3 linked regions of the Caenorhabditis elegans genome follow. The protein of the gene in region 3 interacts with the protein of the main gene of each other region in a pairwise test. Each region holds a gene or a part of one and is shown on either strand. Other genes may lie near its edges. The genes, in order: crim-1, abu-10 and crmb-1.

Evidence for each region.
Region 1: the proteins of crmb-1 (region 3) and crim-1 interact in a two-hybrid assay, tested with the Caenorhabditis elegans proteins (2 studies listed by BioGRID).
Region 2: the proteins of crmb-1 (region 3) and abu-10 interact in a two-hybrid assay, tested with the Caenorhabditis elegans proteins (2 studies listed by BioGRID).

What each region holds. Positions count from the first base shown.
Region 1 is NC_003283.11:10,330,480-10,334,235, forward strand, and holds the start of crim-1 (Cysteine-rich motor neuron 1 protein-like), read right to left. Parts: upstream 1,634-3,756; 5' UTR 1,566-1,633; coding exon 1,407-1,565; intron 709-1,406; coding exon 600-708; intron 358-599; exon of another isoform or gene 218-357; intron 1-217.
Region 2 is NC_003284.9:3,796,328-3,800,083, reverse strand, and holds abu-10 (Activated in Blocked Unfolded protein response), read right to left. Parts: upstream 1,903-3,756; 5' UTR 1,862-1,902; coding exon 1,820-1,861; intron 1,763-1,819; coding exon 1,421-1,762; intron 1,372-1,420; coding exon 1,195-1,371; intron 1,150-1,194; coding exon 1,063-1,149; intron 1,021-1,062; coding exon 931-1,020; intron 887-930; coding exon 773-886; intron 718-772; coding exon 442-717; 3' UTR 343-441; downstream 1-342.
Region 3 is NC_003282.8:267,334-271,089, reverse strand, and holds the start of crmb-1 (Serine/threonine-protein kinase), read right to left. Parts: upstream 1,684-3,756; coding exon 1,652-1,683; intron 1,605-1,651; coding exon 922-1,604; intron 502-921; coding exon 394-501; intron 348-393; coding exon 264-347; intron 214-263; coding exon 1-213. Other genes in the region: T21D12.12 (BPTI/Kunitz inhibitor domain-containing protein), read right to left, coding at 2,819-2,930, 2,988-3,051, 3,226-3,339, 3,384-3,474.

The sequences.
Region 1 (3,756 bases), on a different chromosome or scaffold from region 3:
CTCCTTTTCTAGATCTTGAAAGAAATTGATAAAAACAATTTATTTTTGAACAATCTAAGTATTTTTTAACAACATTCAAGTTTTGGTATGCTCAGAATCCTTGCAATATTTCAATTACTTGATATCCCCATTGCCTACATTGTCCGATTTTTTATCCACAACAAGATCGTTTCAATTCTCAAGTTAGTCCAACCCATTTTCTACCTTTGCAAGCCGCCCTATCTGCGGACACAACATAGAGGACTTTTTGGTTAAAAAACTGCGGGCAGAGTGAAGTAAAGTAAATAGAAATTGTATATTCGGGAGAGCAGGGTGGATTGCGTCGTCCGGCGAGCACACACGAGAAGCCTCAGCACAAGAGAACCGCCACCATTTTGAGAAGTCATTTTTTATAGGAAGAGAAAATGAAAGAGAGAGAGAGATAGAGAGACTGAGAAGAAACCCTATCAAATTTCAGCAATAAAATAAGCCCAATAGTAACTCTAGAGCACCCTTTTCTTTTTAATTAGGAAGCATTCTGGACCTCGAAAAAACAACCAAAGTTCTTTCAAATCGAATGAAACATGCAAAGGGACTTTGAAATATTGAAGAAAATATACCTTTACATCGACTTGAACCATCAAGATCGTTTTCCTGATGACATGAAAGATGCGAATCACAAACAAGACCAGGCCCGTCGCAAGTTTCACCGATTTGTCGAATGCAGACCTGCAAGTATAACTTTTTGTTTATTGTTTGAAAGCCGTTAAAAAAGACCGCACATACTTTTTTATAGACTTTTGACTTATGTTTAAGTTTATTCAGTGTATTTCTTTTTGTAGAAACAAAATTATAACTAAAACCGCGGTTTAAAAACCGAAAGTAAGATTTAAGGGACAGTTATTATCATTTGAAACTTAGAAAGTTGAACCACTTTCAAAGCAATTAGGATTATTTTTAATGTACCGTGTTTCCTCTATTAGTAAAAAAAGTACTAATTATCGGGAACCTATCTATGTGCAATTTCATTATAGGAATAAGAGGAATAAGAGCTCTAAGAGGATACACGGTATCTGAATTATGCGTTTCTATCAAACGGTTCTTCGTTTTGGTACTGATTTGACTGTGTAGCATAATACATTAAAGCTCATCTTTATTCAGTTGTTTCACTGAGCATTTGATCCTTTCATTTGTTCATTTGATCATTGTCCAATAATAATTAAGTTATTGGGGATTTATGATAATAGTTAGAATTTTAGTCATGAGAAATTGTGGAAAATTATTTCAAAAGCTCACATTCAATGTTCTGGAATTTTAAAAAGAAAATTAAAACTGAGGAACTAGAATATTAAAATTAATTTTAAAAATAAGTTTTAAAGAATTGTTAAACCATAGTTCGTTTTCTATCAAAATTTTAAATTACTCACTTCGCAGCAATCGCACTGATCCTTTTTCAATTGCTCGCATCCTGAAACATCTGGACATGAATCCTTGTCACATGTCCCGCACAATGTGGTCTTTTGGTTTTTTGCATTGGAAATGATAAGAAATGTGAAGAGTAAAATAATACTACTTGACCACTGCATTTCAACAATTCTGCATAACCGTTTTTGCCGTTCAGCGGAGAAGCCGCGTGATGAACGGCCCACAAGCTCTGCAAAGAAAAATATGAAAATTGTAGTCATGTATATAAATTTTTTGTCGATTTTTTTGGGACCATGTAACTAAGATTTCAATTCAAATGAAAAAGTAAGTAAAACGAGAAACAGAGAGACCGTCTCGTAGTGTCCCAATTTGAAATGAACTGTGTCTGTGCAGGCCCCGCCTTTGAAAATCGAACTGCGCGGGATCTTCACGACGGTAAAGCACAAGAATCAGAGAGGTTATAGACAACGAAAGTGATCCGAGTCGATCGGTGAAGAAGCTGCACTGTCAAAGAGAAAGAACACAAGCGAGCAAGCAGGGAGACGAAAAAAGGTCTGTTGACATTGGGCGAAAGACAAAATGATGAAGGTGCGCGGAGACAGAAAGATGGTAGCAGAAGCTCGTAGTATACCGAACTGGCGCCCGATGGATTAGAACACTTTGTTTTGCAATTCAATAGAAAGAAACAACAACATAATTAAGAAGAAACACTCAGTTCATTTGACAAAGGAGACCTAGTTCCGTGTTATAACATTGATAATGACTTTCATCAAAGATTCTAAGTTTATTCATGTTTACTTTAGAAACTAGAACCAGATCAAACAAAAAAAAATAGGTGGATGTTCCTATGCTACCTACTCAAAAGAACAGTTTTTACTTAACTATTTGTTTTATTCCACAGTTTTTCAAGAGAAGAGAAGTTATCTAGTTTTCAAAAATAACAAGTGATTTTATTACTGATAAAACTATTACGTCTCGTGCAAAATGTTCATTTGAAGAATTCAACTTTCAAATGATTCCGGAATTATCTTCAACGTTCACTAAAGAATTTACCGTTTGAAATGCAGAAAAAAAGAATATTGAGGAGCAGGAAACCTGGAATATTTGAAATCTGGAGAAAATGAAACCCTGAAAAACACACAGAAAACTGGTCGCTAAGCGTGTCAACCTTACAAAAAGATTACGGTACTTTCCCTATTAGCCTTGTACATTTAATGCTCTATCTTGGCAGCTCATATTTGGTTATCCTTGGTATTATCACAAATTTTGTCAATACTAAAATATCAAAAAGTAATTGGCACCAAATTTATGTGCTACATTTTTAAGCCGAAGAAAACCTAGAAATAGTTTCTTAAAGTATATCAATAAGGGTAGTGCTATATTTTGTGGTATTCTATTGAGAAGTTTCCAATTAATTAGGAAGACATGCCAATCAGCCGAATGATCGAAGAGCATTCAAATCGTATTAAATTTGAAATAATACTTCTTTAACTTTAAAAAAGTACACAATGTTCCACAAAAAACGATTCTTATGAAAACTCAATAAAAATCGCCTGGTTTAGGCCATAGTAAATTTTTTATGTGTTCAAAATGCTCTTATCAACTTGAGTGAACGAGGACAAGAAAATAGACAAAAAACGAGTCGATGAGAGATGGAAAAGGAAACATTGAAACCATTTAGATTATGCGGGTCTAGACGGGAAAAGGTAAAAAAACGTCTCATGGAGGTCTCATTGAAATACATGCTGCCTCAAATAAGAAACCGGTAAGGAACGGTGTGATAAAAGATAGAAAATGAGATGAATGTATGGTAAAGAAGGAGAGGTGTTTTGTTATTAGTGAGGGTGTAAAAATATTAGAAGAGGAATTTCAGAGATAGAGGAGAAAGAGTGGAACGGAATGCCTTTTCAGCAAAAATTCCCTTTCTTCTCTTGTAGCTCGGTAATTTTTTATCACAAACACTTCATCGACGTCTTTCACTAAAAAAAGAAAAAAAGAAAACAGTTTGAAACTATCGAGAAAGGATGATGATCGAGAGGATGATTGGCGTGAAGGTGAGAAGATTGATTACAGTGTATATTGGCGTCGAAATGTCTCTTCGGTATATTTCTCCTTTTGCCTTCGAAAGGAAAAAATGACAAGAGGTTAGAAAATGGAATGTGTTTGACTCATTTTCATGGTTATCAGTAGAATGTCGATCAGCTGCGGGTGCTCGAAGAGCAAGCATCATCGGTAGCCAAAAAGTGACGAGAAATTGGAATGATGGACAGGAAACGGAAGGGCAAGAAAATATTTATGGAACAATAAAATGAAGTTTATGTCGAAATTGAAAAGTTTTGAAATTTGAAATAT
Region 2 (3,756 bases), on a different chromosome or scaffold from region 3:
TTGTATAGGTTATTTAGATTTAAAATAAATGGGAAATTTAAAGATCAAAAATTCGTTAACAATATTGAACACAATATAAAAAGTTTAGTTTTGAAGAAAACTCTCAAATCTCTTCTACGATTGCTGTTTTAGATAATGATAGAACCAACCCTTTGTGAAAATCTTCTGGTTTTCAAACTTCAAATAGAGTTTCCTAAAAGAAAATTGCATTTTTCTCAAATCTTTTTCAGTGATTTTGTTGTAATTTAGACGAAAATTGGTAATTTGAACATCATAGAAATGATTCTTAATCATTTTTTCATTTATATCTTCATTGCATATACTCATTGTGTAAAAGGAAATAATATAAAACTACTTTATGTAATGGCAATAATATTACCGAAATGTACAAATAGTTTGCGTGAAGTCGAAAAAGAAAGACATGGTCAGAAATGAGTTCGTTTAGGCGATCGATCGCTTTGCCTTGCGGTTGGTGTATCTGTATCTAAGACAGCAGGTCTGCTCGGCGCACTTGACGTATCCGCGTTGGCATACGCATTGGTTAGCATCGCAGGAAGTAGTAGCTGACGAATGTTGGGATTGTTGGTTGGTGTACGAAGCGGTGCACGATGACTGGCAAGCTGGCTGGCAAGCTGGGACGCACTGATTGATTGGTTGCGCTTGTTGAACTTGGACTTGGAAGGTTGGCTGAGCTTGTTGGGCGCAATCACAGGATGGCTGGAAGTTTAGATATCCATAGTTAATTTACTGGTCAAAAAGCAATAGTCTTTACCTGAGCCTGTTGGCAAGCGCATGGGTTTTGCTGAACAACTGGGGCACAATCACAAGCTGGCTGAGCTTGTTGGCAGCACGGGTTCTGTTGAACTGGGGCACAGTCGCAAGTTGACTGTAATTCACAAACTTAATGGAAAACTCTGGAGTGTGATTTACCTGAGCCTGTTGTTGGCAGCATGGGTTCTGCTGGACTGGAGCACAATCACAGGCTGGTTGCTGTTGGACTGGGGCACAGTCGCAGGCTGGCTGAAATTACCGGACTAAAAAAAATTGTTCAAAATGCCATACCTGAGCTTGTTGGCAGCATGGGTTCTGTTGAACTGGAGCGCAATCGCAAGATGGTTGCTGTTGGACTGGAGCGCAATCACAGGCTGGCTGAAACTTCAAAAGTTCATCCAACATTTACCAAATATATTGTACCTGAGCTTGTTGGCAACATGGGTTCTGCTGAACTGGAGCACAATCGCAAGCTGGCTGTTGAGCTTGTTGCTGACGGATCTCGATTTGGATGCAGGTCACACATGATGGGTTTTGTTGGCAGTCACAAGCTGGTTGTTGAGCAACTGGAGCACAATCACAGGCTGGTTGTTGTTGTGGCTGCAAAGATGGGTTACTTTTATTCGTCGCTCTTACATTAACAGCCTACCTGGCAGTCACAGGCTGGTTGCTGTTGAACTGGAGCGCAATCGCAGGATGGTTGCTGTTGCTGGCAGGCGCATGGATCTTGTTGAACTGGAGCACAGTTACAAGCCGGCTGCTGCTGTTGTGGCTGGCAAGCACATGGATCTTGCTGAACTGGAGCACAGTTGCACGCAGGCTGCTGCTGCTGTGGCTGGCAAGCACATGGGTCTTGAGCTGGAGCTTGTTGGACCTGAGTGTACTGAACCTGGACATTGATGGTGGATTGTTGGCAGCACGATGGTTGCTGCTGAACTGGGGCGCATGAGCAAGCCTGACGCTTTTCTCTAAGAGTTGGTGCCGAAAGTGCCTGAAAATGGCGGGGAATTTATAAATAAAATGGAATGAAAAAAAAAAGAAATCTCACCAGGGCGACAATAGCAAAAATTGAAAATGCAGAGCGGAACATTGCTGCTTTTGTTAGAGAGTATTCGAAGCCAAGCTACTACTGACAACTCAACTTTTGCTCCTCATATTTATACGCGCCCGCCGGGAGGAGTCATGGCAAGAGGGTAAGACCGGCATGCGCAAGAACAGGCGACAAAAAAGAACGAAGGCAGTTTCAATTGTGCATCAAACACAGATGAGTAGTTATGATCGGATTAGAGCACCTGTGGGAATATGGTAAGGAGGGGGAAAAAAGTTTAGTCAGAGAAAATGAAAACCGTGTGCTGAAAAAATGCGTGCACACAAATAAACATTGTTTGTTTTTGGCTTCTTGCGCACATGAAATTTTGCCGAAGACGCATACTATCCAAAGTGATGTTAGCTATAATATATTTCAGTCTAGTCTTCTAACCAGTTTAAAAACACTTCAATTGTGTCAAGAGAGATATTGGCTCACCAATTCAAAACTCGAGTCTACTAATTTTAGGCCCTACTTTACAAAAAAGTGTGACAGTTGAATCTACTGTACTTTTCCAATTTGTCAGACATTTTTTTCCTCTTTCGAGACAATAAATAACGGCCCAACGTCGCAAATGTGAATGTTTAAAAATTTTGTTTCATTCAATGTCCAGTGTTTTCCAATAGTTCACAGAATGTTCAAGTTGTAGAAGGTTCTCTTTATTCTCATTTGAAATTGTAATTTAATTTGAAAAAAATCGAGGTTAGGTTGCATTGTTAAGCTTAAATTTTTTCAAAGCATGACTAGTAAACGAACGACTATTTTGCACCGATTTGTAAAAAAAAAATTGATTATTATATCTTTTTAGTTGGAGTACCAGCAAGCTATTTTGAAGATCTTTCTTTTGTATCAAGTAATATTGTTCTGAAAGTATTTCTGAAAGGTAGTAGTTTAATATCCCATTTTCAGTAGAGCTTTTTTTCCCAATTTTTGTCTAGACCGTCTTGTAATATATCCGTTATAGTTTTCAACAATACGTGAATGTAGTGACACAGAACTTTCAATCTCCGAACACTTGCATTGAAAAGTTCAAGTGATGCGTTATTTGCAAATAGTCCGTAAATAGAGACCGCGTCATAGAAGAATACAAGCTGAGAAACTGGTTAACGCTTTCAGCTGTTGCATTTGCACAATCTCTCGTTGATTCTTCTCCCTCCCAACAAACAAATACAAAGAACCCCAATTATCACATTCTTCATTACTCAGACCGCTTGCCTTTACTTTAGATACCGGTTGAGGGGTTGAGTTGAGTTCGATTGCCGGCTGGATAAAAGGTTGCAATGTTTGTGTCTGAGGATGAAGGAAAGCAGCACAAAAAGTTGCGCCGGAATCGGATTAAAAGCTCAGGGGTGGTCATGTTACAGGAGAGTTGAGCAACGTACGAGAACCGGTACGTGAGCACTCTGTGCCGGCTCTGTTTTATCAGTGTGCCCGCAAAAACGCATGTACTTGAAATATATGTTCGTTTGATGTGATGAGGAACGTTTTCGAATTATGCGTGTTTTCAGACCATTGGGATGAGCTCAAAAGTTTGCTGGGAGGGGGGGGGGGGGAGGGTGATCTAGTTTTACATTAAATACTCATTCACTAAAAGTATGTTTCCATTAAATTTTATTTTCTGAAAATGGTCAACAATGTTTTTTTCAGTGTTTTTTTTCACGTAAGAAACATGGAGTTCTGACTTTTTCATAATTAACATCAAGGTATTAGTATTTATTGTGAATGGTTTCTCTATAAAACAAAACCTTCTGTTATTTTTAAATATGGATCTACGGTGTAGCTGCAAGCCTTTTCACAAGATGAAAAGATTTTGTAAGAAACTTTTTGAAATTTTTCAAAATGTTTTCAAAAATAAAAAAAAAATGACTGAAGTTTGCTGTAGTCTTCATTTTTGTCCA
Region 3 (3,756 bases):
ATGTAATTGTTGATATATCAGTGGTTGAAGTTTCCAATGACGTTGTATTCATTTCGTAGGTTGTTGTAGAAGTTGGAAGTGATTCTGTCGTGGGGCTTGGTGGTTGTGTTGTTGTGTGACATCTTTGTTTTCTTGAACAACGCCGCCTTCGATGACATTCTACATATCTAGGAAGGCAGCTAGATCTGATGCATTCCAACATGCACTTCTTCCCTCCAAATTTACAACATGGAAGATGAGCACATCTATGAAAAGCACCGCACCTTCTATTTCTTCTGCATCTATCGAATAGACACAACGTATTTTCTTCTGAGGAATTTTCGGAAGATCCACAGTTTGAACGGCATCTAAATTTATTATGCCGTCGGTTTTCACATGGTCTTCTTTGTTCACCACTTAAAGACGATTCATCAGATGATTCAGCTTTCGAATTACGTAGAATCCTCCAACTCGGAGGTAAAACTCGCCGAGCATGATGTCCGTCCACTCCAATGAAGTCAACTGAAACATAACATTTTAAAGCGTTATTAACAGGGGAAGTTAATGATAACAGTATGAACGGGAAAACTTTTTATAAGTTACATATCTGAAACTCTTTCAAGTGAGAGAATTCAGTAGTGTCGTTGGAAATTTTTGTGGATAGGAAATGGTTCCCAGTGACAATTTTAAGTGTTGAAGTTTTTAAATTTGGTTAACAGGGATACTTTACCCATTCAACAAAAAACGCTATCAGAAAAATTATGATGATTTTTATAGTCTCTAAAAATTAGTGTACTGAAAAATAGTAATGCAACAACAGGAGTTAGTATTTAAGAGAGAGAGAGAGAAAGAGAGAGGTGGAGTAACAAATGGAAAATATTCTGCAATCGAAACATTTTTTTCAAATGTTAAAAATTACTCCTAAAGTTGATTTTTACTTACATTGGAAATAAGTGTTTTCATCACTTTGCGCATCGTTTACTTCTTCGGACGAAGAAGAATCTCGGTGTGACTCTGGTCGATTGGAGCAGTAGCAAGGATCACACAACCGACGGTGATGACTATATGGACAACATGGACGGCAGCAATGAATTCTTGGTGAGTCAGCTCCCGGTCCACTTCCACCTCCACTTCCGGAACCACCTCCAGAGCTTCCATTATTACCATAAACGGTCAAATAATTATTAACCACGTTATTATTACTATTATTATTGTTCGATCCTGACATACTATGACTAGAACTTGACAAATTATTAGTGTTAGAGTTGATCAGACTACTGTTTAAACCTATGTTTTGAATTGAACTAGCTGCCGAGCTGGAGTTGGATGTGCTACCCACTGATCCGTTTCCAGGCGTTAACCCAGCTCCTACACTAGAACTTGAAGAATTTAGGGAAACGCTTTGATTTTGACTAATAGAAAGGTTATTATTCAAATGTGAACTATAATTTCCATAGTTTCCAGAAGCCCCTAAAAATCCTAGGCCGACTGTAAAATTATCACTATTATTATTTTGATTAACATATTCGATTTGGTTAGAAACGGAGTTGTTATTCAAATTTTCGCTAAGACTGGTGCTGGAGCCATTGGAAGATGATGGTGAATCTGGAGATGGAGGTTGCGTTCTTTAGGAATATATATATTATTTTAAGGCAACAATAATGAAACTTACATAATAGGAGTGTCTGCTGGATAAGTTGTCATGCATGAATTTGAGAAAGGTATTATCAATATTGTTGGCAAAATAAGAAGACGAAGCATTTTGAAATTGACAGAAACTCCTAAAACAGCATTATCAAAAATTACTATAGAACAAAATTGAGTATTTTACAAACTTTGTCTAAAGGAAAGAAAACATCTTGAAAGTTCAATTCTGATTGTTTAGATTGTCTTGTAGGCGTTAATTTCACACAATTGTAGCTTCAACTGAATCATTTTCCACGGATGTGTCTTGATTCCACTTTCATGAGAAGTTGTAAACTGCTTCGATGCGCGTGCACTTCCATCTTCCTCTGCTGCAAATTGGCCTCGAGCGGAACTTTTTGAAACCGTTTTATTTTTATGATCGAATAACGCAAGAAGCAAACATTTTGGATGATCAGAAAACAATGAATGAAGCATTGAAACAAGGAATGAATTAAACTACATAAATGTTTTCAATAGCGTTTGATACTTTGAGTTTTTGGTTTTAAAAGATTTTAAGAACATTAAACAAGGCATTTGTTCAAAACATGCAAACATTGAAAACTGAGCATTTTTGTTTTACACAAATTCTTCTTAATCCGAATGTATTAAAAGATTTTGCAACGAAAATTTGAACTCTTTTCAATTTCACAAGTTTTTAGAAAAGCTATTTCGGCAGACATCTGAAGGGTGCGCTCGAATGTAAGTAACAAAATAAAAAATGATTTTTAAAAAAACTGCGAAAACAATACATTCAATTACAGTGCTGGCCGAAAAGATATCCACTTTTAGTTTTTTGATAATTTCACTAATTTTTCAAATAAGTATAACTATAAAACTAGAAATGCTACCGAAAAATTTTCAATTAACGTAATATAGTACATGACTATGTTTATTCGTACTTATATGTATTGATTATCCACTAAAATCGTGGCAAGAAGTTATTATGATATTCCAGTTTCTCTGTTCCGTGATATTACTGTAAATAATATCTATTTTGAACTAGTATTAAGATATTTAAACACGTCTTTACTTGATTTTTTGGTAATTTTTATCAACTTGCATGATTCATTTATATAGGTCTTTGTGCAAAATAAATTGTTTTCGTTTGAAATATTTATATACATTAAGAAAACTACTGTTATTTGCTAAAATGTTACATGCAAAAGTTTTTGCATTCGTTGTACGTAGCAAAGTTGTTAGCATTTCCATCGCGGCCATAGAAAGTGAACAGCATGCAGTTCTTGTAGGACTTTGAGAAGAAATATCTGAAATTTAATTTATTGAATCCGTGAAAGTACAATAAAAATTAGTTGAATTCTTACCTGGGTGTATGTTTTCCACTAGATCCGAATTTTCCAGCGTCGTACTGCAAACTACATGTGTTTTCTGCAAATTTCTTCGATCTTTTGTTGTGCTTCTTTCACATTTGAATAAATATTTACACATCGAAACAGAGTTTTTAGTTCTAAAACACCAGTGTTCAGACAAAGTACAAACCGCTTTAAACTTGTGTTTTAAAGATCACTATAACTTTTCAAAATCTCTTCAGAAAATAGTAACCTTTTGTTGGACAGCATTGTTGATTTTGACACTCGTAACCATGTGGGCAATTCGAACATCCAACAGTCTGACCAGAAGTGGCTCCAGCTGGGTATGCTCCAGATGGACATACAGCTGAAAAACTATTATACACCTTTGTCATCCATTGTTCAACTAACCGTAAGCTAAATCGTCAGAAGCAGTCGCGTTCCGGCAAGCTGATTCACAAGCCTCTTTCGATTGGAATCGATTGGAGTTGCCGTCGCATCCCTAAAATTGTTTTATTCATTTTAATTGAACGTTTTTCCAAGAAGTATACTATTCTGTTAAATTCAACGAGAAATTTCCGTTTGTGAGAAGATAAGGTATATTCCTAGCATCAGCTCAAGCACAAGCTAAGAATATACCGTAAGTATGGCCCTTAGCCTGGGCATAAGCCTAACCTTAGCCTATGACAAAACCTAAGCCTAACTAGGGAACCATCAGAAGGTGCCCATCAGACTTGCATATGAAACCTATGCCATTCGATAGCCCATGTCTTAAAACGGTTAC